Rhinolophus ferrumequinum: one gene and its partner. The protein of the gene in region 1 interacts with the protein of each later gene in a biochemical or structural test. Links are inferred from orthologs where the notes say so. Each region holds a gene or a part of one and is shown in the gene's direction. Other genes may lie near its edges.

Region 1 (12,703 bases):
CCAGTTACATGTGTTCTCTGGTGTCATTTTCAATAGCGTCGTCTTTCACTCTCAGAGGTACCCATTACTACTACACAATAAATTATTTTGTCGCCCTTTCAACAACACTGTGATCTTCTGGAACATTTCGGCTAAAGATATCCATATTCAAACCTTGGAGAATAGAACCAGGATGTGTTTGGAATGCCTTTCTTCCCTGGTCTAACAGGGGCCCAGGCACAAGACCTTGAAGACACTGAGAAAATCTTATTTGCATTTCATACGTACACCTGCAACTAGGCCCAGAATAGCTTTTTTCTCCTCCATTCCTACTAGCTAAAGGAAAGGCCAAGCTGTAAATCTACCTCCTTCCTAAAACTTTCCTTGACTCTTCTCTGAAATGCACTGGGGCCTTTCCCTCCTCCGAACTTCAAAGGCCATTATAGACAGTCTTTACCATACAACTTAGCAAGTATGGTATTACAGTATTTCCTATTTGTGTCAAGTATGTAAGTCACCTACTCAATTAGACTGTAAACTGGATAGGGGCAAGGATAAAGCCTTATGCTTCTCTTGTGCCACTTTCAGACTTACTACAATTCTTTATATATCATATGTGTTCAATCATTCTTAACGTCAGGCTTGAAATTCCCACTGCTTTTCTTCACAGCCAAGAGCAATGGGTTTTAGAGTCAGAAAGACTTGATTTCACAGTCTGACCCTGAAACTTCTTACCTTGTTTCCCCGAAAATAAGACCTAGCCAGACAATCAGCTCTAATGTGCCTTTTGGAGCAAACATAAGACCCGGTCTTATGTTATGTTAGGTAAGACCGGGTCTTACATTATACTAAAATAAGACTGGGTCTTATATTAATGTTTGCTCCAAAAGACGCATTAGAGCTGATTGTCCGGCTAGGTCTTATTTTCGGGGAAACATGGTAGTTGCATCATACTAGGCAATTTACCTATTCTTACATAAGAATAACATTAGAACCTGGTTTACATGACTGTTGAATCAAAAGAAATTAGAGGATGCATGTGCCAAGCACATGGTGAGCACTCAGTAAACAGAAGATGTCATCATCATTAAATAATCCCCAGCCCTCCAGTGAAAGCATCCATGAAGCAAAACAAAAGATGGTAATGCTATTATTTCTTCTTTAAGTACAGTTTTGCTGTATAGATTCTTGAGTAAATGATTTTCAACTCTGCCACCACCAAACACTTGATTATTCTGCATCTAGAGATCAATCTGATCCCAGGTAAATTCAAAGATTTGGAGATAAACTACATCAAATCCGGAAATATGATTCAGGCCAGAATACTCAAAGCTACCCTTGGAACATCTTTAAATGCAGCTTAATTTCCCTATCAGTCCAGAACTAACATGATTAGGGCAGCAGTTCTCAAATTCTTTGATCTCAGGGCTCTTTACAATGTTAAAAATTGAGAACCACTTCCCCCCACCCTGCCAATTTTTGTTTCTGTGGATTATTGTATTAATTTTTTACCATATCAGAAGTTAAAACTGAGAAATCTTTAAAATACTTATTAATTTACCTTAAAAACAATTACATGTTAACATAAAAATATAGCTTACGTAAAATAAGTGTATTTTACAAAAAATATTAACAAGAGGTGTGGCGTTATTTTACATTTTTGCAAATCTCTTTAATCGTCTGGCTTCATAAAGGACAGATGGATTTCCATATCCACTTCTGCATTCACTGTGATGACAGGTGATGTGAGACCATGTCATGTAGCCTCTGGAAAAACCACTGTAATACGTGAGAGTGAGAATGCAAAGGCAAATAATGCCTAAGAATCAATATGAAGATAGTTTGACTGGTAGACTCCCTGAAAATGTCTTAAGGATTCCCAGGGATTCCTCAGACCACACTTTGAGAACCACTTGACTAAAACTCACCCTCAAGCCACCCCGATCTATTGTCAAACCCTCAAGACTGTTCCAGTCCAAATCTGACCTAAACTGAAATCAGCCTTTCTGAAAGAAAAGGACAAACTGAAGTCTTCCGGGATATTTATCCTTAGACCTGACGTTTAAAAGAAAATAACTAGGAGAATAAAAGTAAACTCTCCTGTCATGTGTTTGGCAGTTTATTGCTGATGGTGTCCTTTATCATATTCTGTCACTGGAAGACAGAGCATGTGGGGTTTGTTTTTCCTTCTTACCGTGTTTCCCTGAAAATAAGACCTAGCCGGCCATCAGCTCTAATGTGTCTTTTGGATCAAAAATTAATATAAGACCCGGTCTTATTTTATTATAAGACCAGGTCTTTAATATAATAATATAATATATAATAAATATAATAATATAATACGAGGTCTTATATTAATTTGTGCTCCAAAAGACGCATTAGAGCTGATGGTCCAGCTAGGTCTTATTTTCGGGGAAATACGGTATAATACAGAAGCTTTAAGATATTTTCAAGTATGTTTACTGCGAATATAAGTAGTAATAGGATGATCACAATATAGCCTTTCCTTTGTTCCTTTTATCAATATTCTATATATTTAAAAAATTTAACTTTCTCACTAATATTTTTGTTTTAAATATATGTTTTGTTATAAAGTGAACTCTTTGGAGGCTGCTGAGGCACTAATAACAGAAAATCAGACAGGTCCTGGTCCCCACCCCACTGGCCGTTAAGAGTCCAGTGGGGAGACACAAGTAAATCATCAGTGGCAGCGTGAGATATAGGATATAAGGGAGATCAGCAAAGGGCGCTTTGAGAGTAAAGAACAAAGAAAAGTGGGGAGGTCCCGGAAAGCCTTCCCAGTAGAGGTGGCACTTCAGTATTGAAGAGTAGGGGCCTTAAAAGAACGGGGGGAAAAGACAATCCAGGTAGGAGTAGCATAAACAAAGGGCAAGGAAGCAGACAAGGCAGCATGAGGCTGTGGTAGAGGAATTGGTGTTAGGGATCTAATTTTTAAGCCAAGTTTTAAAAATGCAGTCCCTTGAGGATTTCACGTCCCAGCTCAAGGACAAGTTCCCCAAGGGCTGCCCTGGGCACCAGGATTAAACAAAGGGAAGGTCTGAGAAAGAAGATACTGAGTGGCAGCCCTGCCTTGCGACCCATGAGGTCTGGCGGAGGGGGTACCGGCCACTTCTGGGCAGCGGAGTTTGCCTTTGGACCTGAATCCCGCAGGGACCTCCCGGGATTCGCCGTCCTCCCCAAACCCCCCAGCCCAAGGCTGCCCGCGAGACAAGTCCCGCTGCTCAAAGCTCAGAGCAGAGACAAAGACTCCTCCCCTCCAGCACCTGCCCGGGAGAAGGCCATTGCCCCCACGGCCACCACGGCCCTCGGCGCGGGTACCCTGCACTCACCGATCTCCTGGCCCCGGGGCTTCCGCGGTTACCATGGTGACGGCGCACCCGGCGTGCCGTAGCACCACCCCAACGCCGTGGTTCCGGCTGCGCGCGCAGGTAAAATTTGCAAGGTGCGGGGAGAGGGAGGGGCCCGATGGAGATGGATGATTCAAGTCGGAGTGACTTCAATCGTTGTGTTCGGACGGTGGCCTGCCGGGTATTTTCTTTATTTTGTAAGTTTTATGAAATGTGGTCTATATTTATTTTACATTTTAAAAAATAAAATTTGAAAATAAGAAGTGCACATTGATTGCCGGCCTGTCCTAGTATTATCTTTGGCCTTTAAATAGAAGAATTTTCCAGAAATATGAGGATGCATTCTGAAAACTATGAAAGATCGTAATTATAACGCGCAGCTCACTTAATTTTTTAAGTATTGGAGATCTTTCTCTTATGGTTTATGGTCATTGTCACCAACAAGTAGCGTTTCCTGAGACCTCACAAAGTGCCAACTGTGGCAGGAGTGGAAGGAACTTGGAAACTATCTTCTGATTCAGGAATTTCAGGTCCAAAACAGACGACTTTTAAAAAGGGGTAGGGGGGAGGGCGGCACCGGGTATCAAAAGAAACCAGCAGAGGGTTGGCCAGGTGGCTCAGGTGGTTAGAGCTCCGTGACCCTAACTCCGAAGGCTGACGGTTGGATTCCCACATGGGCCAGTGGGCTCTCAACCACAAGGTTGCCGGTTCAGTTCCTCAAGTCCCACAAGGGATGGTGGGCAGCGCCCCCTGCAACTAAAGATTGAACATGGCACCTTGAGCTGAGCTGCCACTGAGCTCCCAGATGACTCAGTTGGTTGGAGCACGTCCTCTCAACCACAAGGTTGCCAGTTGGACTCCCTCAAGAGGTGGTGGGCTGTGCCCCCTGCAACTAGCAACAGCAACTGGACCTGGAGCTGAGCTGCGCCCTCCACAACTAAGACTGAAAGGACAACAACTTGAAGCTGATCTACGATTGAAAGGACAACAACTTGACTGGGGAAAAAAAAAAAAAAAGTCCTGGAAGTACACACTATTCCCCAATAAAGTCCTGTTTAAAAAATAAAAAGAAAAGAAACCAGCAGAGAAGCGTCAAGCTTACCCAGAAATTATATAAATGTTCACACAGAGCAGAGTGAAGACAGGGACATTTTTCTACTGAAGACAAAGGGTGAAGGAAAATATTCATTTCTTTACTATTTCTATGCGAAAATCATTAGGGAGGATATCATATTTTAGAGAAGCTCAGAACATTTGAGCTGAAAGTTGAGTAGCTTGGCTTGAAAATGAACATTTTGATAACGTTCTTTTTTTCACAAGGATTATGCAGCTGTAAAAAAAAAATGAGGAAGGTCTCTAAATACTTAACGTCTCCATTGCAATCCATAAGCTCAGTTCTGTATAGGAGTCTCCTACCTTCAATCTAGTTTGTGGAGGAGAGCCATTACTGAACTTATTAGCGATTCTGGGTACCCCTCTCACCAGCACCTGCCTTATTACTTTGTTAAATGATGTATCCTCTGGTCCCTCCCATGGAATGTAATTGCCTGGTGGGTTTTCCAGGCTTACACAGTATATTCACTCTAGCTTGCTCACGTTTTTGAAACTTTTAATCCCTAGTTCCACTGCCTTCCTTGGCAATCCTGGCATCTTTACCTCATTTAGTATGGGCCATTACTCTCCATGCTTATGAGGCCATTTTTTCCGGCATATTTGCACCATCTCCTGAGATCCTTGTGAAGTTGTTAAATCCTGTATCCCAGGGGAAAGCTTCCAAATTAATTAAGTCTCCCTTACTCAACTTTGTATTGTCTCCATTGATCCAGCACTCTAAGAATTCAGTCCCATGTGTACTCAGCCAGATGTCCCCATACCATATGTGAAATTCCCACTCTTTCCCAACTAGCACCCTGTCCTTGGCATAGCAGACATGCCAATATTGAGAGTTTACTCTTCTTCGAGGTTCTCCTACTCTTATGATTAAGTCTTGGACCTGCTCCTCAGATTTTCCTGCTCTCTAGTGGCAGAAGATGTATTCATTATCTAGACAATCCTTTGACGTTGATGCTTAGTTTTTAATAGACAATTTATCACTGCATTTCATTAGATAGTATCAAATGAGCTTAGCCACAGCCCACACATATTTCTTCTAAATATCTTTAACACCTAATATATTGCACCTACTAGAGTGTTTCCTTCCACCAGAATATACAGTTTGCTAATAGTTTCATCAGTGGCACTAGATTGTGTCAGGGACTACCTGTACTCCCTCTTGCACCAGTGATGACATCCTCTTTTCTAGCCTGGCAGCAGATGATCCACACCAAAAATCCCATCTAAGTGACTGCATCTTGAACCACTCCTGTCATTCCTGGACTCCCCAGGAAGCATATTCTGAGACAGAGTTTAGCAGGCAGGAAATTTATTAAGGGATGCTCTTGAGATCAACACCTGGAAAGAAAGGTAAGGAAACAAAGCAGAGGGGAAAGTTGGGCTGCAAGGTAGTCTCAACAAACGCCTATGCAGACCGTCTGGGGAGCTCTGAAGTTTGGATGGCCCTTTAGAACTGTCCCAATATGGGGCAACGAAACCGTGCCTTTGTACCCCAGCATGAATGAGTCACTGGTTGCAAGGAACCCCAGGAAAGGAGTGAGGCTGTGGGCAGGCAACTTCTTCCACAAAGGTGCTTCCCAGAAGGCTAACAGATAAGATCTCTCAGTCAACAGCACTTCTACTGGCTGAGGGATTATGTCCTTCATTCTTTACATATGATTATGTCCTTCATTCTTTACGGATGTCTGGGTGATGTACCATGTTTCCCCGAAAATAAGACCTAGCCGGACCATCAGCTCTAATGCATCCTTTGGAGCAAAAATTAATATAAGACCCGGTCTTATTTCGGGTATAATATAATATAATACCAGGTCTTATATATGACCGGGTCTTATATTAATTTTTGTTCCAAAAGATGCATTAGAGCTGATGGTCCGGCTAGGTCTTATTTGCGGGGAAACAGGGTAATAGAAGGACCCCATGTATGCATGCATCAATCATTCTATCCACAATTAGGGACAAGACTGTGCCAACAGGAGACTCACCTGCTACAAATAACCCCAAATTCCTAGCTTTCCGTGACTACTCCCATCTTTCTGTTGCCTTCTCCTGTGGGGAAAAAAGGGGAAAGGAGGAGGCTTCAGTATTCAAATACTGCCATTCAGCGAGGAACTCGCCAAGTGGTCACCCTTTGGGAATACAAGAAAGCGGACTGGAAGATGCGCGGTGCTTGCGGTTAGCTGAACCCCCAGCAAAGAGAGCTGCTACTTCCTGAGCCGCCCCGGAACCTCTTGGCGGAGTCAGTGTGTTCCAGGGGAGAACGATTTAGGATCAGAACCACTTCCTGCTGCTGAACAGGGGCGAGGGACAGGGAGGAAATAGCTCGAGGAGCTGCATCCTGCTTGCGCTTGCGGCCGCAGAGGAGGAGGCAGAGAGGGGGCGGCGGGCGGAGGAGGTAGGGGAGGCTGTGGCCGAGGGAAAGAAAGTGCCAGAGCCGGTAAGTTAGCCTCCTGCGAGCAGCGACACTGGACAGCGCCCCGACCTGGCTGTGCACATCTGCAGCCCCAAATTGCTGAACCGCGGGGTGGGGTGAGGGCCGTGCTGCGCCCGCCGCCTGTCAGTCGAGTAGGGGCAGTTGGGGCGCTGGGGCCGGGCCTCGGGGGTACCAAGCAGACGGCGATCGAGCTGGCTGACAGGCCTACCCCCGAGCCAGGAAAAGCGCAGGGCTGTCCTGTGTGGGGGCTTTGGGCTTCCTCGGACAGCTTCCCCAGACAGGGCTTGGAACTCGGGGGAAGGAAGTGGGCACTGTGCGTGCCATTTCACCCTGGGGACCTAGCGCGATGCTGCCCAGTGGGTGGTGGACGTCGTTTCGGGGACTGAGGAAAGGGCTTGTAGAGAGAATCTTAAATCGTGGAACCGTAGTGTTTCTGTATTGTTCAAGCTGCCCGCGCTGTGGGAAGTGGAGATGTTTGTCTTTAAAGGCAAATGCCCCCCTCCGACTTCTGTCACCCGCTCAAGTTACTTGCAGGTGCGTTGTCAAACCAGCGTGTTCCCTTTTCCATCTGTCGTGTTAGTACAGCTGTGGGTGTCTGGTGAGAGCTTTGTAGGTACACTTGATGGTGAGGCCGAAGTTAAATGTCTCCAAGCACTTTTTGAGGAGAGATGACACGAACCTAGCAATCGGGACTATTACAAGAGCACTTTGTCTCACCTTCACTTACAACCGTCTTAGCATTCAGAGTAAAGATAGTTATCTTCTTACAGGTACTAGGTAAAGGTTATGATTGTTTGTCTGCAAAACGCCTGTGATACAATAGAATATAAAATTGTTTATCACTGAACGAAATGATTATATAGAGATGGTTACTGGAAAGATCAGAAATCGTTTTTATTAAGTTACTGCTTTTCTGTTGTCTTAGGTTCGGCTTTAGAGTGTGGTGAAGGGTACTTTCCATGGTGCATGGAAGGAAAGCCAATGCGCAGGTAGGCGTTTAGCAAGAAAACCTTCGGTTTCACGGATTGAAATTCAGCACGTGATAATTCAAGGCTACATGTGAATTTTTTAAAAAAATGTTTACAAATCTTTCAAACTTCTACTCGGAACTAATGACTCTTGTTCTAAAATAAGTCAAAAGTAAAAGGAATTGGTTTTTTAATAGAGTAAAATACAGAATTTAAATTTCTAAAGAGCACTATGAATTTTATGTAGATAACATTTAAATTTTCCTTTCTGCGTGGTAATTTTTTGTGATAATCGTTAAGTGTACTATGGTACTGTATGGGTTTATTATAGTCTTCAGTTCCCCATAGAATGTACAGGACTCTGTTGCCGTATAAGAATTATTATTTATAATACACTGCACTCAATGTCTAATTATGGTTTTGGTTATTTCATTGATGTTTGGTAATACATTTGTTCTGTTAGTTAAAATAGCTGCATTGTAGAGATGGTTGAGGAGTAAAAAAGGTATTGGACATAACAACTTAGTCCATAGAAAAGTGTGGGAAAATATAGACAATTATAGGCCCTCCCCACCCTAGAATTTAGTTTTGCATTTTCTCAATCTGTTCTAACAAATAGGATCTTTACTGAAACAAAAATCAGCCCAGTTCTAGTTCTTATTTTTTAAAATCATTTTACATTTATTGAACTACATTTAATCATTTGTTATTTAACATCAAAGATAAAGAGCTGTGGCAAACCCTTTTAAGAAAAGAAATATTTCATGATGGGGATATGACTTAGAACCAGGAGCAAGAACCAAAATACATAGCTTTTTCAAAATCTGTTATTGATTTTTCTACTGATCTTGAGCTATTCACCTTCTCTTTGACCCAGTGTTTTTCTCTATTGTATCTGACCAAGATATTGGGAATTAATGAAAGCTTGCAAATGCTTTGAGATCTCCAGATGAAAAGATGTTATGGATGTAACAAATGCCATTATCTTATTTATATCTTACTCTATAGAAAAATAGTGTTTAACTGAAAGTACATGAAATTAACTACACATATAGTAATACTCCATCACTTCAACTTTTAACATCACTGCAGAAGCCACTGATTGCTTCTCATCCCCAGCTGCCATAAATGTTGTATTTTATGTAATTGCTAAAATGAGAGCTCATTATTTTTTAAAAAGAGAAGGAAGGCACAGCATGGAGATGTTTTTATCGGTAATTTCTGTATAAAATATTCAACTTAATTACTCATACTTTTTTTTTTTGCTTTATTATATAACACTGCCAGTTATTCAAAATCATGTTGGAGAATTCTAATGCCATTAATTAAGTTACGACTCTTTCTTCATCACCATCATTTGGCCAAAGCCTGGCCTACCCATTGCTGTCTGGTTTTACTTTTACCTGATGCCTACATTAAGTCATAGTCACACTTCCAAAGGGCATTTCCTTGTTGGGTTGCCTTTTTTTTTTTAAAAGATTTTATTGGGGAAGGGGAACAGGACTTTATTGGGGAACAGTGTGTACTTCCAGGCCTTTTTTCCAAGTCAAGTCGTTGTCCTTTCAGTCTTAGTTGTGGAGGGCGCAGCTCAGCTCCAGGTCTAGTTGCCATTTCTAGTTGCAGGGAGCACAGCCCACCATCCCTTGCAGGAGTCAAGGAATCGAACTGGCAACCTTGTGGTTGAGAGCCCGTGCTCCAACCAACTGAGCCATCTGGGAGCTCAGCGGCAGCTCAGCAGCAGCTCACCTCAAGGTGCCCTGTTCGATCTTAGTTGCAGGGGGCGGAGCCCACCATCCCTTGTGGGACTAGAGGAGATGAACCGGCAACCTTGTGGTTGAGAGCCCACTGGGCCATGTGGGAATCGAACCAGCAGCCTTCAGAGTTAGGAGCATGGAGCTCTAACCTCATGAGCCACCGAGCCGGCCCTGGGTTGCCTTTCTTGCTGCAACCCAGAAGGCAGTCTCTGGGAAGTAGAGTTTATACTTAGCTGCTATTGGAGAAGCTTTGAATGAGAAGTAACTCTTTATATTGAAATTATTTGAATACATATTCATTCTCCCTACCAGAGTATGAGCTCTTTGAGTCTCCTATGTCTTCTGTATCCTTGTATGCCTGGAAACTAATGATCACTGAATAAGTGTTTGAATGACTGAATGCTTATCTGCAGACATTTCCCCTGGAGCTGGGACTGTGAACAAGAAAATTATTGTTAAAGGGATTCTAATGCTTAATTATAAAATTTTGTGAAATTGATTGGCATTTTATTAGTAAAGCTTCATTGCATTCATTTAAGTAGCTATTATGTGGAGGGGTACATGATACAACATTTAAAAAGGAAAAAATAGAATATTCAATGAAAAGTAAGTCTCCCAATGGTGACCCCAGCTCTCAATTTTCCTCTCCAGAGAAAACCACTGTAAACAGTTTCTTATGCACTCTTTCACAGACATTGTAATGCATATACAAGCATTTACAGAATACCTCCTCTTTTTAAAAAAAAACTGTCAGCATACGAATTGCACATTCTTCTGTAACCTTTTTTCACTTCAGAAATTATTTTGTACTTTGTGACAAATACATAGAAACCTACCTTATTCATTTTAATAGTTTTAAAACTTTTAAAAGTTTTCTTTAAAACTTTTTATATAGTTTTCCCTTATCTGTAGGTATCATAGTTAACCATTCCATTTGAGAGACAAATTATTTCAAATGTTTTGCTGTTACAAACAGTTCTGCAACGAATATCCTTCTAACTGGTTTTTGCCCAAATGTGTAAGTATAGAATAAATTCTTAGATGTAAAAATTTTGGTAGATATTGACTAATTCCCCTCCATAGAGATAATACCAATCTACAGTCTCACCAACAATGTGCCTGTTTCCCAAGAGATTATTTTTTAATTATTTCATTTACAGACACTAAAACATTTTGCAATGTAATTCTTCCATCTTTCCTTAAATATATAAATAGAAAGCTGAGCCCAACCTTATTAGGAATTGTCTTATTCACTCACCAAACATTTATATAGTACTTGTTCTATGCCTATGTACTGCTTATATACAGATGAAATGATGGAAAGACACGTAAACAGACAACATAATACACCAGGAACAGGATTTTTATAGAGCTGTAAACACAGAGGAGGGAACCTCTTCTCTGTGGAGATGAGAGCTTCACAGAGATGGTGATATTTGAGCTGGACCTTCTAGAAAGGATAAGAATTTGGTCTTATCTTTAATGGTGGGTTGTTGTTTTTTAAAGCTTGATTGTACCACTGTTGAACCGTGTCTTTATTCTTTCAGCATCTACTACGTACAAGGCACCATTAAGCATGGTGGTTAAAAGCCTTCTGAATTGTTAAATTGTGAAAAGCCTTCTTAAATGTGGGTGGAAAAAACACACCTTTAACTGCTCGGCTTTATATTTCAGTCTTTCGATTCTCAAGCATAAACAGTGCTGTTTGCCGCACGTCAGGAATTATGGACAGTTTGTACTCTAGAATACACAATCACTTGTGGGCTGAGGCCCAGCACAGAAAGATTGCATTGATGAGTACTTTGGAAAAACAGCTTGCTGTTGGAGAAAGAAAGGACCATGTTCTTGGTTTTCAAGTTATGCCTTTGTAATGCAAATACATAGTTATTTACTGTATTGCCTCACAAGCCACACAGTTGATTTAGGAACAACTTTTTAGAAATGTGAATGTTGCATTAAAGACATGCAAAGCTTTTACTAACTGGCGGTATAGCACATATTTAGCCATATAATTGATACCTCAGTTTTCAACATCACAAAGCTGTATTTTGAGCTTTTCTCTCTTTCACCGACTAAAGAATCCTCTGACTCTGGGTGATGAGCACACCATGTAATCTCTAGATGATGTATTACAGAAATGTACACTTGACACCTATATAATTTTACTAACCATTGTCACCCCAATACATTTAATAAAAATTTTAAAAAAAGAATCCTCCGAATTACGTCTGGCCCTCAGCCATTATCCATAGCATCCCAGTGACACTATTTTTTGTCACCTGTGCATGTGATTTTTCCTTTTTTCTTAGTTTTGTTTTTTACTTCTGTAGAACTATTACGATGGACTGTATAAACTATGAAAAATATGCATCTTAGAATATAGGAAATACAGTACTCCATATAAAGTTCATTTTTGGACCCTGGCATATTTCCTTTTGATCTTTTCATGCAACATGAGCAATATTTTATATATTTTGTCCTGAACCTTAGAGGAGCAGTTTACAAAATTAATGAGGGAATCAGAAATCACCATTTTGTGTTTTAAAAAATATCAAATATCAAGATTTTGGTAAAACCAGATTAAGGAATTAAGTCCATTGGTCTGTTTTGTGCAGAGAGATCATAATTTATAAATGTTTCTCATAAATTGCAGGCATTTGTAAAAGATAACGGCCAAACAGTCTAGTCTGACTACTTCTAAGATGAGGAAAGAATTGTCCTTTACTGGAGTGCATAGTGAACGTGCTGACTTGGAATTAATACTGTTCATTCTTCAAGAGACTCGAGTTCTTAGAAAACAAGCGCTGTGGGGGCCCAGTCCTCGCCTTTGATTACCTGCAGGCTTCCCTGTCTCTTCGCTTAGGAACACTTTATGGCTTCTAATAATATTGCCATCTTCTCTTCCCTCTCGCCCCACCTTCCTGTAGGTGTACCAGCATTCGACCAGGAGAGACTGGAATGGATGTAACAAGCCGCTGCACCCTTGGAGACCCCAACAAACTGCCAGAAGGGGTTCCCCAACCTGCTCGCATGCCCTACATCTCAGACAAGCACCCTCGACAAACCTTGGAAGTGATTAACCTCCTG
Region 2 (12,428 bases), on another chromosome or scaffold:
TCAGCCATAAAAAATGAAATCTTGCCATCTGTGACAGCATGGATGGACCTAGATGGTGTTGTGCTGAGTGTGGTAAGTCAGACAGTGAAAGACAAATGTCGTATGATTTCACTTATAAGTGGACTCTAAAGAACAAAATAAACAAACAAACGAAACAGAAAAAAACCTCAGACACAGAGAACAAACTGATGGTTGCTAGATGGGAGGGGAGTTGGGGGGATAGGTGAGAAAGGGGAAGGGATTAGAAGTACAAATTGGTTGTTACAAAGTAGTCATGGGGATGTAAAGTATAGCTTAAGGAATATAGTCAATAATATTGTAATAACTGTGATGTCAGATAGGTACTAGATTTGTTGGAGTGATAAATGGGAGGGGGCTGTGGGCAGGGTGAAAAAGGTAAAGGGATTAAGAAATACAAATTGGTAGTTATAAAATAGTCATGGGGATGTAAAGTAAAGCATCGGGAATATAATAAATAATATGGTAATAACTATGTATAGTGCCACGTGGGTACTAGACAGGGAGATCACTTCATAAATTATATAAATGTCTAACCATTATGTTGTATTCCTGAAATTAATATAAAATAATATTGAATGTCAAAAAAAATAAATAAATGTCAATAGTGCTACAAATATTAAACAAAAAAAAGAAGAATCCAAAGAAGTACAAAATGTGGCTACTTCTAAATCATAACTCCATGGATCTGTCTTATTCACCATTATCCTTACCACTCAATAAATAGTTAAATGAGTAAATGAACATTAAACTATCAGACCTAATCTGGATTCCTAAGATGTCATGAACCCAATATAGTGTTCTTGAGTGGTATTTTCTCAGAAATTTTCATCATCTCAAAATTTTTTAAAATTAAGGGAAAATTTCAGGAAATACTTAAATAATAAATAATACTTAAATAATAAATGAAATTATGCCAATTATCCTCATACAATTTTCTTAAAAGAGTATATTTGGACTGACTGAGTTTAAATATGCAGAAAACACCAACTTTTATTGGTGTGTAAATTTATGAGAAAACAGCAGTGAAAGAGTCAAAGATTATTGCTGCTTTTGCAAATCTTTAAACTGACAAAGGCTTCTGGAAGAATTTATGACAAGTTTATCTTTTCTGAAAAGCAATGTTTCTATAAATCCTACCAAACTGCTATGAATAAGGCTGTAAATCACTTCATTGGCTTGAGTAATGGAACTTGTATTTCATGAAACCATGCCAAGAAACCTAGACACTTTCACTGAGAAGACGCATTGACATTGAGTCTTCTGTAATATTTAATACCTATCTTTCCCCAAAAAAAGATGAATTTTGATATTGATTGAAAATATTTTTACCATGAATTTACTGAAAAGAAAATAAATAGAAATCTATGGCATTAAGTCTGATGGTTTTAAAGAGGTTCATTAGTCACCAGCAGAGAAAAATAAGTTAGAAGCAACAGAAAATAAATATAACTTCATTCACTAAATCAGTGTGTCCATAAGTTCAGATTTTATCTGTAATTAAAATTTGTACATCCAGTTCTAATGGATGAATAATGTTCAGTGCTTCTTTCTGGATGACTTTTTTTCAGTCTTGCTTTAAGTTTGTTTGACAGAACAGAAACTCCTTTGAATGTTTCACTTTTCTCTTTCCCATTATATCCATATATTCTCATAGAGAAACATAGAATCTGGTAGCTAACTGCACTTAACATTCAATAGCGGGGAACTCCTGCGGGGACAGAAGGGTACATGTTACATATGTATATACTAGTGAAATGAGTGACATGTTCAGTGCTTGGAGGCAGCTCTGTGTACCTTTAGTTAGAAGACTGACTGACATTCTGGGCCTTGAGTTGTATAAGTGCTGTTCAGTATTACTCATTTTTTGTTTCAGGTGGTGTCAGAACCTAAAAGAAATTGAGCCAAGCACAAAAGAAATAGGCTAAGGGCAAAAGTAAACCGGTAACCCCAGAGGTTCATAATCTCCTCAGGCCTTTCAAACACTGGTCAGTGATGTGTATGTGTTTATTTACACCCCTCTTGTTTTTTACAAAGGATTTAATGACAGTTAAAGATGTATTCACTACCACAAGACACAATAAATGAAAATTGGAAAGAAACTGAGTCAGAGGGACAGTAGGGGTAGAGAAGTGGCGAGCTCCATGCCATGGGGTCTTGAACAGGGGGTCACAAACTCCTAGTTCAGAGGACCAGGTAGATAATGTGAAGTCCTCATCTTTACACCCATGCACTACAAAAAGACTATGTTTGTGGAGCAATGGTGGGAAAAAGGGTCAGAGAGGTGCTTCAACTAACTCACAGCTCAGCAAGATGTACTATGCTTTTGCTATTTTGTTTGTGAACATTAAATTCTGCTGTTGAAAACAAGAAAATTAATGGGATGGATTAAACTCACTAGATGTGTGTGGGGACAGAGCCCCAGAAAGCAGTTTCCAGGCTCTCGGCCTCACATAGAAAGGTGCTCACCATGTCCTGCGTTCTTATGTGGAGAGCGGGACCAGAGACCCCGTAGGCCGCCCCACACGACAATGTGTTAAGCATAGATAAGGAAGTTAGTAACCTATTAGGTCAAGAAGAAAACAAATATTCGCAATGTTAATATATATACAGGAAGCATTAATTCACCACCCATTGGTGGTGCCTATTTCGGTTCTGAGAAATACAAGTAAAACCCATAGCTGCTAATGAGACTAATTGGCATTCTATAGCCATTGGCCAGGCACATCTGTCCCTCTGTATTTGCTTCAGGTAATATGCTTCTGTTCCCAAGAGTTCTGCCCCGAGTGCTCTTCTTTTTATTTGGTCCTGCATCCTCTTCCCCAGTGACCTCATCTTTCACGTTCAAAGGTACCCTGGTGTACATCGGAATCACCCCTGTCTAGCCCATAGGTACTGGTCTCCACTTGGACATCATGTGGATGCCCCACGGGCACCTCAAATTTCATATCTCCACGACATCTTCTCTTCTCCCAAACAGCCTGTCAACCCATATTTCAGCCTCCATGGAAAGCATTATCTACTTAATCATTCAACCAAAATTGTTGATATCACCCCGACTCTATCCTTTTCCTCAAGTATCAAGTCCTAAGATTTCTACTTCCATAAAATATCTTGTTTTTCTCTACCCATCATCTCCAAGGATGTGACAAATTAGAACTAATCAACCTTGGCTATCAAAGACTCTTCAGAGCAAAGACACACGTACTGAACATGATGGACAAGGACGTAAAGATCTACCTTGGTTTATCTCTCCACTCTTATCCAAGTCCCGCTCTCTATTTTGACTTCTTGTCATTTCCCTGTGTGAACTCTGACTACTGACAGATGGCTGAACGAGCAGTTATCTTTCTCACATCTGTGATGTAGCCTCATTGTTTTCCTGTCTACGTTCTCTCCTCTCTCAACCTTCCCATGCCATCATTCAACTTTTTTTTTTCCTGCTAACTCTTAATCTTCTTTCATGTTTTTTTTTTTTTCACTAGGATGTCAGCTCCTCTAGGAAACTTTCCTGAAACCTCAGGCTCACCCCTGTCATCACCCTCCATCCCTGGCCTTTATCTGAATTTAGTGCCCTCCCTTTGTGTTTCCATGACAGTCTGAGGTCCCTCTCTCATCACACTGCCAATCAGGGTCCCAGAGGAAAGAGATGGCACACTCAAATGAGGATGATTCAAAGAGGTGTGAGAGAGGTGCACGGGAACCATAGGGATGGGACAGGAACTCTAGGTTAGTAACAGCAGACCTGGCCCCAAATCTAGGTCCAAAGAGACAAAGAGAGAGAGTGTGGTTACTAAGGCCTGGACAGAGAAAATCAAGTAGAAGAGGTTACCTGGTGAGGAGCAATGACCTTTGTTTGACAGTGACCCAGGCAACCTTGCAGAGAGAAAAGCAGAAGACTATTTTGGCCTCATTCTCCTCCCTTCTGCTTGACCTCATGCCAAAATTCCCCACTGGTCAAATGGACCAGGAGCCCGAGGACAAGGATATTAGTTAAAATAATCTTATAGCTCAGCCTATCGACTTGTAAGTATGGAGAAGAGTAGAGAATGAATCTAGAGAAGCAAATGGATTATATCTGGCACAATCACGCTTTAATGGAATTGGCTCTTTGTTCATCAGTCTCCCTCATTAGACTGAGTTACTTGAGGAAAGAGAATGTTTCTTTTATCTCTACATCCTTAGCATCTAATATGTACTAGATAATCAATGCTTATTGATTGACTCAGAGAGCATGGTGAATTGGACATTACTTGGAGGACTGTACTTTCTGAGCTTGCCATGTGCTTTCTGGAATCCAGGATGGAACGGAGAGCAGAGTGAGCTCTGTAACTTTCATCAAAAAAACAACACATCAGTTGGCCAGGAGAGGTGAATTCTCTTAGCACTCAGGGCTGGGAGGAACTGGAATTAGTCATGTGACTGCCTATACAAGGGGCACTCAATTGCATAATGGGCAATAGCTTCAACAGGAACATCACGGGTGCAGAAACACTCTTCATGAAGCCATTTAAAAATATTAGCCCTTAATAAAAGCCATGGGCGTGTTATTAAAAAGTAACCCAAAGGTGAATTGAGCTAATGAGGTCCACTTTGATTGATCTTAGAAAAACCTTGTCCAAAAAAATGATTAAGCCTTAGGCTTCAAACCCGACCCCTAAACAAATCTGCAGTGCTGTCCTCTTTGGATTATCTCTTCACTCATCAATCAATAGATTAAAAGGACCCACTGAGAAACTCAGATGGACTGAGGGACCATGGATCCATTAGAGGGCCAAAACCTGGGTCCCTGAATGTGGAATGGAGCCTCCTCATCCACCCCTGGCTAACAACTGTGTTGAGAACAAGAAATAAACCTTTAACGTGTCAAACCTCTGAGATTTGTTGGGTCTTATAGCAGTAGGTATCTTACCCTAACGACAGATATAGAATAATGTTCTAAATTCTATATCTGAGTCTGTTTTCAATGCTATCATCATGAGTATCATAATCTATTGTCCCCATTGTAATCAGTTATTTTCATGGAAGTCCTTTCCGGCTTCAATCTCATCAGTTCAGGATTATTGTATTGTTGTCTTCTACTTGAAAGACCTTCTTGCTTGGTTCATGATAGAAAACACAATACCAACATTCTGTGTATTTTATCTCTTTAGATTCTTCCAACAACTCTGAGGAATACGCAAGTGCCTATTATTGTCCCTGTTTTGCAGGTGATGAAACTGAGACCAAGAAGGTTAAGTATAAAGTGGAAAAAATAATTAATTTACAGTTATCTGAGGATGAAGCAAGAGAATAATTAGTTGGCCTGGAACCTGGCGCACGTTACAAGTTTTCTTATTTTCTTTGTAACTTTCTTATAAGTTATCTGTTGCTGTATAACAAACCACCCCAAAATAATGACTTAAAACAGTAGCAATAATTTGTTCTGCTTACAGAACCTGAACTGTAAAGACACAGGTAGCTGAGGTTGGGGGTAGGGCTGGAAAAGCTGGCTTCCTTGAACTTCTCTCTTTCTGTGGTCTCTCCACGTGGCAGCCCCAGGGTAACCATGGCAGCTGAAGGCTTACAGAGTGAGTGGAGAACGCCAGAGAGGGTGCATGCAAGAAAGACAAACAGTCAGACAGACAGGCAGACAGGCAGAAGCTCTAACACCTTAAGTCCTAGCCTTGGAAGGACATTATACTGTGTCACTTCCACCACATTTTCTTAGAAGCAAGCTACTATGGCCAACTCTTATTCATGGGGAGGAGAACTAGACTCCACTTCTTGATTGAATTTTGGAGCATGTTTTTCAACTACTACACTTTCCTTCTCTGAAATGCTTGCCTAAATTAGTGCTCATGAAGCTTAACGGTAAGTGAAATGACACATCAAAAGTCACTCAGCTGTTAAATGGTTCCACCAATATTAGATCTAATTTTGTGACTCCTGAGTCCGTGCTATTTTTTACTACCCCAGAAAAATCTCCTGTGATCAGCAGGTGGAATAGGGTAGGGAAAACATGCTAGTGCTGAAATGGAGCCAATCCTTTTCATTGCCTTAGAAAACACACTTACATTTATTTTTCAGGAAAAATATTGCCCATAATACAGTCGTCCATAAGCACTTTCCAAGTTTCTCCCAAACATCTGTGTTTTAATTTCTCCCCCAACAGATGTATCCATTTGCATTTCCCCCAGATAAATCACTTTTGCTGTTGTTCTTATTTTTGACTGTATTTATCACCTTCCAAGATCCTTTTGTATTAATTCTCAAACCCACCACTTAGGTTCATGCCACCTGCCAATTTGGAACCTTCCCTTCATTCCATCACCATGAAAGTGTGCCCTTCCTGTGGGCCAATAAGTGAAATGCTCTCTAAGTGGAGGGTGTGACAAAAAGTCTGAGGGGACTTTTTTTTTCTTTTCAAGAAGACAAAATCTCTAAGGTTGAAAATTTCTATTGAATCAAAGAGAGTCTAAATCATTCCATTTTAGAAAATCTGGGAATTTGAACAATGCTGTGGATCGGAAATCTCAGAGGTCTCATATATCAGTTTTGTAATTCTAGGCAGTAAGGTAGATTTCCCTACAGAAGCTTTACTCTGGGGATCCCCAGAAGTCTCTACAGGGAACCCTCCTTTGTGCTTTCCACACCCAAAGACTTGGGGGAAACATGGGGCAAGAGGTAGAGAATGGATAAAGAGTTTCCACTAGATATGGGTTCTCTGTGTAGACTAGCTCGATCCACAGAAACAACACATTCGTACTGTTACATTCTCTAATAACCGCATTTCTAAAAGTAAAAGGTGAAATTAATTTTAATATTATTTTATTTCCCAATATATCTAAAATACTAATATTTGAACATGTAGTTAATGTAAAAAATTCACTAGCTATTTTTCATTCTTGTTTCCATATCAAGTCATGGAATCCGACGTGTATTTCACACTTAACTGCACACCGCATTTGGGTCTAGCCACATTTCAACTCATCGACAGCCAGTAATTTTTGGTGCAGCACACATATACCCTTGGTTTCTGTTGTTTGATTGGGTCTCTGAGACCTCAACCCTTTCTTCTCTACGTACTTCCTTCAAGTTCAGATACCAACTCAAAACACCTATCCTGGAAAGGAGCTCCATCTAATGCGGCCCAACCTCCGTCATTCTCTATGCCATTATCCTGTTTTATTGTCTCAATAGCACTAATATCTTCTAAAATAATTTTATTTGTTTATATCTTATCCATCAGAATGTAAGTTTCACAGGGTCAGGAATTTTTAAAAATCTATTTTGATCCGGCTGATTTCCCGGTGCAGAGGACAGTCCCAGGCACACTGCCGACGCTCAAATACTTTTGCAGGACTAAGGAATCGCATTTCTCTGGAACCCAGCCGAAGGGGGCAGCGTCGAGTCGTGTCACAGGTGGGGCGCCCACGTTGCGCGCGGCTGCGCTCGGTCTCCTAGCTGCGTGGGAGTGGGGTGAGTGGGTGTGTGCGGGATGTGTGCGGTAGAGCGCGCCAGCGAGCGCGGAGCGCTGAGCGGGGAGGATCAGCAAGCACCGCTCACAACCCGCAGCGACTGCCCGGCCGGGCAGCTCTGAGGTGGGTGGGCCGTGCCGCCTGCCTGCCCGCGGGGTCCCCATTGGTCGCCAGCAGGCCTCCCTCTGCCCGGAAGCCAGCGAGGAGCTGAGGGGCTGCTCCGAAGCCGGAGCAGGAGAGCCCGGCTGAGCTGACGCCGGGGCGGACGCGCGGGATCCGCGCCCCTGACTCGCTCCCTTCCGCACTCGCGCCGCCGCCCGGCTGGTCTCCGGCGCTGGCGCCTGCGGTCGGCCTTCGACAGCGCTCCGGAGGGACCCGGGCAGCTGCTGGGCGCCCGGGTGAGTGGCCGCGCGCGGCTCCCTGGCTTCTCCCGGGCCCCGCCGCCTGCTTTTGCTTTCCCGATCGCGGCTCGGCTGCGTTTGCGCCGGCAGCGCCTCGGGCCATCGGGAAGGCCAAAGCCGGGAAACTTGGCTGCGGGTAGAAGTGGGATTGCAGCCCGGATGCGCCCCCAGCCCCGCGGGCCGGGTGGGAACAGGTGGTGCGGGCCGGGCCGGGCGCTTTGTGTCAGGACTCGGAAACCAGCGGCAGGCGGCCGCGCCTCCCTCGGCCGCTCCCTTCCCTCTCCTGCTCTCCCGAGCGGCCGCAAGCCGGGTCGGCCGGGTAACGGAGCGGGAATCGCCAGGAATGTGCCTCTGGGGACTGTCTGGCTCGAGGGAGGAGAGAGGGTGGCCGCGAAGGTGCGGGAGCCGAAAGGTGGCGCGGGGCTGCACCGCCGCTTCAGGCTGGAGAGGGATGCTTCCAGCGTGGCGCGTTCCTCCCGGGCAAACGCTTCATTCTTGCGCGGCGCCCCTGGAGGTGGGGAGCTGGGTGGGAGTGTGTGCAGAAAAAGGGGGGCGGGGAGGCCAGTCACTTCCGGAGCCGGTTCTGATCGGTGCAGAGAGCGGTGCTTTGGCAGTCGCGGATCTTGGGGTGTGGTTGTGCACGGCCCCACATGCGCGCCGTCGATGCGGGGCTGGGGTTGTCCCTGGCCCGTGTTTAACAAAGGGTGCTCCTCTGCACCCGGCGGGAGGGGCAGCTCCGAAGAAGTGGTCTTAAGCGAACGGGTCTTAGTCCTGGGGAGGTCCATTTCCTTTTTGGATTGTAATTTTTTTTTTGTATTATTGCCTTTTTTTTTTTTTTTTAAAGACTGGAGACTGATGCATGAGGGGCCCACGGAGGCGCAGGAGCGGTGGTGATGGTTTGGGAAGCGGAGCTGAAGTGCGCTGGGCTTTGGTGAGGCGTGACAGTTTATCATGACCGTGTTCAGGCAGGAAAACGTGGATGATTACTACGACACCGGCGAGGAACTTGGAAGGTACAGGAGGCGCACACTATTGGGTTGTGGGAATGCATAATATTGGGGGTAGTGGGCAGTGAACAAATGCAGCTTGAATCAGGCGTCTCCCTCTTCCAGAAGATGTGCAAATTACAGAGAAGAGTACCACCCCAGCGAAGGCTAAAGACCAGAAATAAACCACCTACTCCAAGGGGTTGGGGGTGGAGAGACAATTTCAGTGTTAGATTATGATGCAAAGTATATTGATCAAAACCCCTGGACGAGAACAGATTGAACTGACTGCGGTAACTCTTGTCAGCTTTTGTCCTTCCGACGACACAATGAGCAAACGCTAAGATATAATTAGAGTTAGCTCTGATGTGTGATTTAAACAGAACACACACTAATGAATAGGCTTTTAAAATCTTCCTGCTTTCCCTCTTTCGGAATTTTCAGAGTAACATGCACAAATATTGGTAGGTCCTACGGTACATGGATACTTGCCAGACGTTGATGTTGGGCTTGGATTTTGAAACTTACTGGAATCAGGAATTTAATTAGCCAGTTGGTGTTAGTGGTGGCTTTGGTTTTATTCCCAATGTTAAATTTTTAACAAATCTACGAGAGTCTAATGGGCTATTTGCATTCAGAGCCTGTTCCATTGCTGGAGGAGCTGTGATTCTGAGTGTAAAGTCTTCCATGTTCTAGGTGAACTAAGAATGATTTATTTGGGGGCATCTACTAAGGGCTAGTTTGGTTTCTTCTGGACTGGGTATTTGACAGGGTGTGTTGAGCTCTGGTCTAACTAGCAGAAAACCCAGTTTTCACATCTAGATTTAAATTCAACATACGGAATTTTACTGCAGTGAGTAAAATAGGCAAAGGGATCTTTAAACAAACAAAAAAAGTATGTATTGACTTACACGTGTATCAAAATATGTATTTTTCCATATACACCTGATGTCCTGATACAAAGCTTCGTTTACTTCATGAAAAGGAAATTCACAAAGACACACACCCTAGATTACCTAATGAAAATTATGAAAGTTGAGCTTAGCTAAAATTTTTTATAAATTCAAGTAATAGTGTAGAATGCAAGCAATTTTTAAAAAGTTACTGTAAGAGCATATTTCTGTATATGTTTAGTATTGACTGACAACCTTACTGGCTTAGGAATTGCTTACTATATATTGGAGATTTACCAAATAAGAGAGTTCTCAAAAATCCTATTTTATAGATATGTTTAAGATTTAAGATTTAAGAGTATGCAGTTAAATATTTGGTTTAACTAGAGTTAAATCACTTTATCCCTATGGTATTCAGCCAGATGAGTGGTATATGAAGTTTTCCTTTGGAAATAGGGGGGCAAAGGTGAAAAAATGTATTTTAATTCTGTTTGCGTAGTATGACCTGATTATATAAATTCTCTTGTAAAGAGAGATGATTAAAATTGGGTGAGGTGATTGCTTTATAGATTAAGTATATTGACTTTATTTTCATTAAGATCTTTTGGTAGAGTTATGAGAAAGAAAAAAAATACGGCCGCCCTGTGGCTGGTGCAGGGAGTGGGGAGTTTGTGATCTTTATTTTGTGAGAAGGCTACCTCTGCCTTTGCACTAGGGGGTGGTTTGCAGATTTGTCCCAGCATTTCGCTTTGCTTTTGACTCTGTCTACATTTCTGTATATAACTTTCTCCCCACTGTGCAAGACTAATTGACAAATTGTTTCTTGAATAATTTATGTGACCTATGAATTTGAAAGAAGTGCTCTGAAAAACTGATAGTTGGGAATTTTTTAAATGAAAGTATACATGCCCATCTAGCTGCTATATCTTTTGGTTTTGCCTAAAAATGGCTTAAACAGTTGATTTTTTTGAAGTGGTTTTCAAGCCCTGTGATTTTTATGTCTGCCTTGGAAATAGCCACTTTCTGAAAACAAGTCCTGACATAAGATAGACAAATAGGAAGGGTGCTGCTTCATGTGTCACTGAGAGAAGATTGGCAGTGGAGGTGGGAGCTTAGTGGCGGAAAATGGAAATGGGCCAATATTTGACACAAAAGCAAGGTTGTTTGTTCTAAGCAGTGCGTTATACACAAGCTAACATCTAGGATTTACGACTTTATTTACATACTACATTTAGCAGTTATCTAAATAATACCTACTCACTTACCTTATAAATGTATTGAGACAAAAAGTCCACAGCTGGAGTAGGAAAGATAGGTTTTTAAACAAGTAGAATACAATATTATTGTTGTTATTGTTATTGTTATTTTCTAGGAAAACAGAGTATGTATGTAGGAGGATGAGTGTGTGTGTGTGTGTCTGTCTGTCTATGTATGTCAGTATGTGTCTGTACGACTGCCCAGGACTGCTGTGAAAGCTCTCTGTTAACTCTAAGGAACTTTATAAAATGTTATGATTATTGCAGTAGTGGTAGAGCAGTCAGATCACTGCACAGATATCCAAAATCAGCTCTGCAACTTGCTAGCTTTATAACCCTGAACAGGTCACTTACCCTCTCTGACCCTCAGGATCTTCATCTATAAAATGAGAGGCCTGGTGCTTATTTCATGACTGTTGTGAAAATCAAGTAACCTAACACATGTAAAACTATTTTATCAACAGTAAAGAGTTAAATAAATTTACAGATATCATCTGCAGGACTATGCTGAGACATGTGGGTGTTCCAGGCAGGCTAATAACTTGGCCGGCAACTCCGTAGTCTTTTTAAGTATCTGTTTACCAATTTTGAGAAGAGAGGCCCTGTGGGAAAAGGCTCATGGAGAGACCCCTTGCTGCCAACACTTGGCCTCTCCACTCTTACTCTGTGTAATGCCACTCTGGCCTCGAACCTGCACACCTTCCCAGTGGAAGCAAGTCCTTACAGTGAATGGACCATCATCTTTGGAAGGCTCTTTGGTGACCTTTTGTGTTGACTTAGGAGGACCTTTGGGGTCTCACCCTCTGTCCTAGGAGGTAGAATAGAGAGCTATTTCCATCACATGTAGTGGTCTCTGGGAATTCTTACAAATGCAGATCTCTCCATCTGCTGTTACACTTGGGTTGTTTTTTTTTAATGCCCTAGGGTGCCTTAGCATCTCTTATCAGTTGGCACTTGGGCAGCTGCAGGCTGGCTTGTCCAACCATCGGGCTCCAGTTACACCCTTGGCTGTGGTTCAGCCTAACCTGTGAGCCTTCTGGGCACCTCTCTGAACACCGCTTTCCTGAGGGCCTGGTCTTCTTCCCTTTTCTGCTGTCTGACCTTACATGATCTTGAGACCTGGCTCCCATCTCCTGAATAAATGCCTCCATGATGCTTTCTCCCTTTTAGGAGCCAAATGACTTGCTGTCTGAAGCACTCCGTTGGTCCATGACCACAGGCTGCCTAGTGCCATGCTCTAGCATTGCTTTGTGTTACTATCATCCTTGTATTGCTCTTTGTAGTCAGCTTGAAAATTCCTTCAGGTGGTCTTTTCTTCCCGAGGGTGTGCAGTATGCTGCATAATACCAGGCACAGTTTGATCGATGCCTGAATGACTGAATGCAGGTTAGCAGGTGCAATATTGAGACCAGAA

The links.
Region 2: the proteins of KLHL20 (region 1) and DAPK1 are reported together in a solved structure, tested with the Homo sapiens proteins (2 studies listed by BioGRID and IntAct, with this or other methods). The link is inferred for Rhinolophus ferrumequinum from reciprocal best matches to the Homo sapiens genes KLHL20 and DAPK1.

Annotation. Positions count from the first base shown.
Region 1 is NC_046305.1:8,646,447-8,659,149, forward strand, and holds the start of KLHL20 (kelch-like protein 20), read left to right. Parts: upstream 1-6,770; 5' UTR 6,771-6,897; intron 6,898-7,819; 5' UTR 7,820-7,860; coding exon 7,861-7,883; intron 7,884-12,543; coding exon 12,544-12,703. Other genes in the region: ANKRD45 (ankyrin repeat domain-containing protein 45), read right to left, coding at 5,608-5,697. UniProt on the Homo sapiens protein: Substrate-specific adapter of a BCR (BTB-CUL3-RBX1) E3 ubiquitin-protein ligase complex involved in interferon response and anterograde Golgi to endosome transport.
Region 2 is NC_046295.1:49,633,538-49,645,965, forward strand, and holds the start of DAPK1 (death-associated protein kinase 1), read left to right. Parts: upstream 1-7,325; 5' UTR 7,326-7,422; intron 7,423-7,458; exon of another isoform or gene 7,459-7,876; intron 7,877-8,723; 5' UTR 8,724-8,830; coding exon 8,831-8,892; intron 8,893-12,428. UniProt on the Homo sapiens protein: Calcium/calmodulin-dependent serine/threonine kinase involved in multiple cellular signaling pathways that trigger cell survival, apoptosis, and autophagy.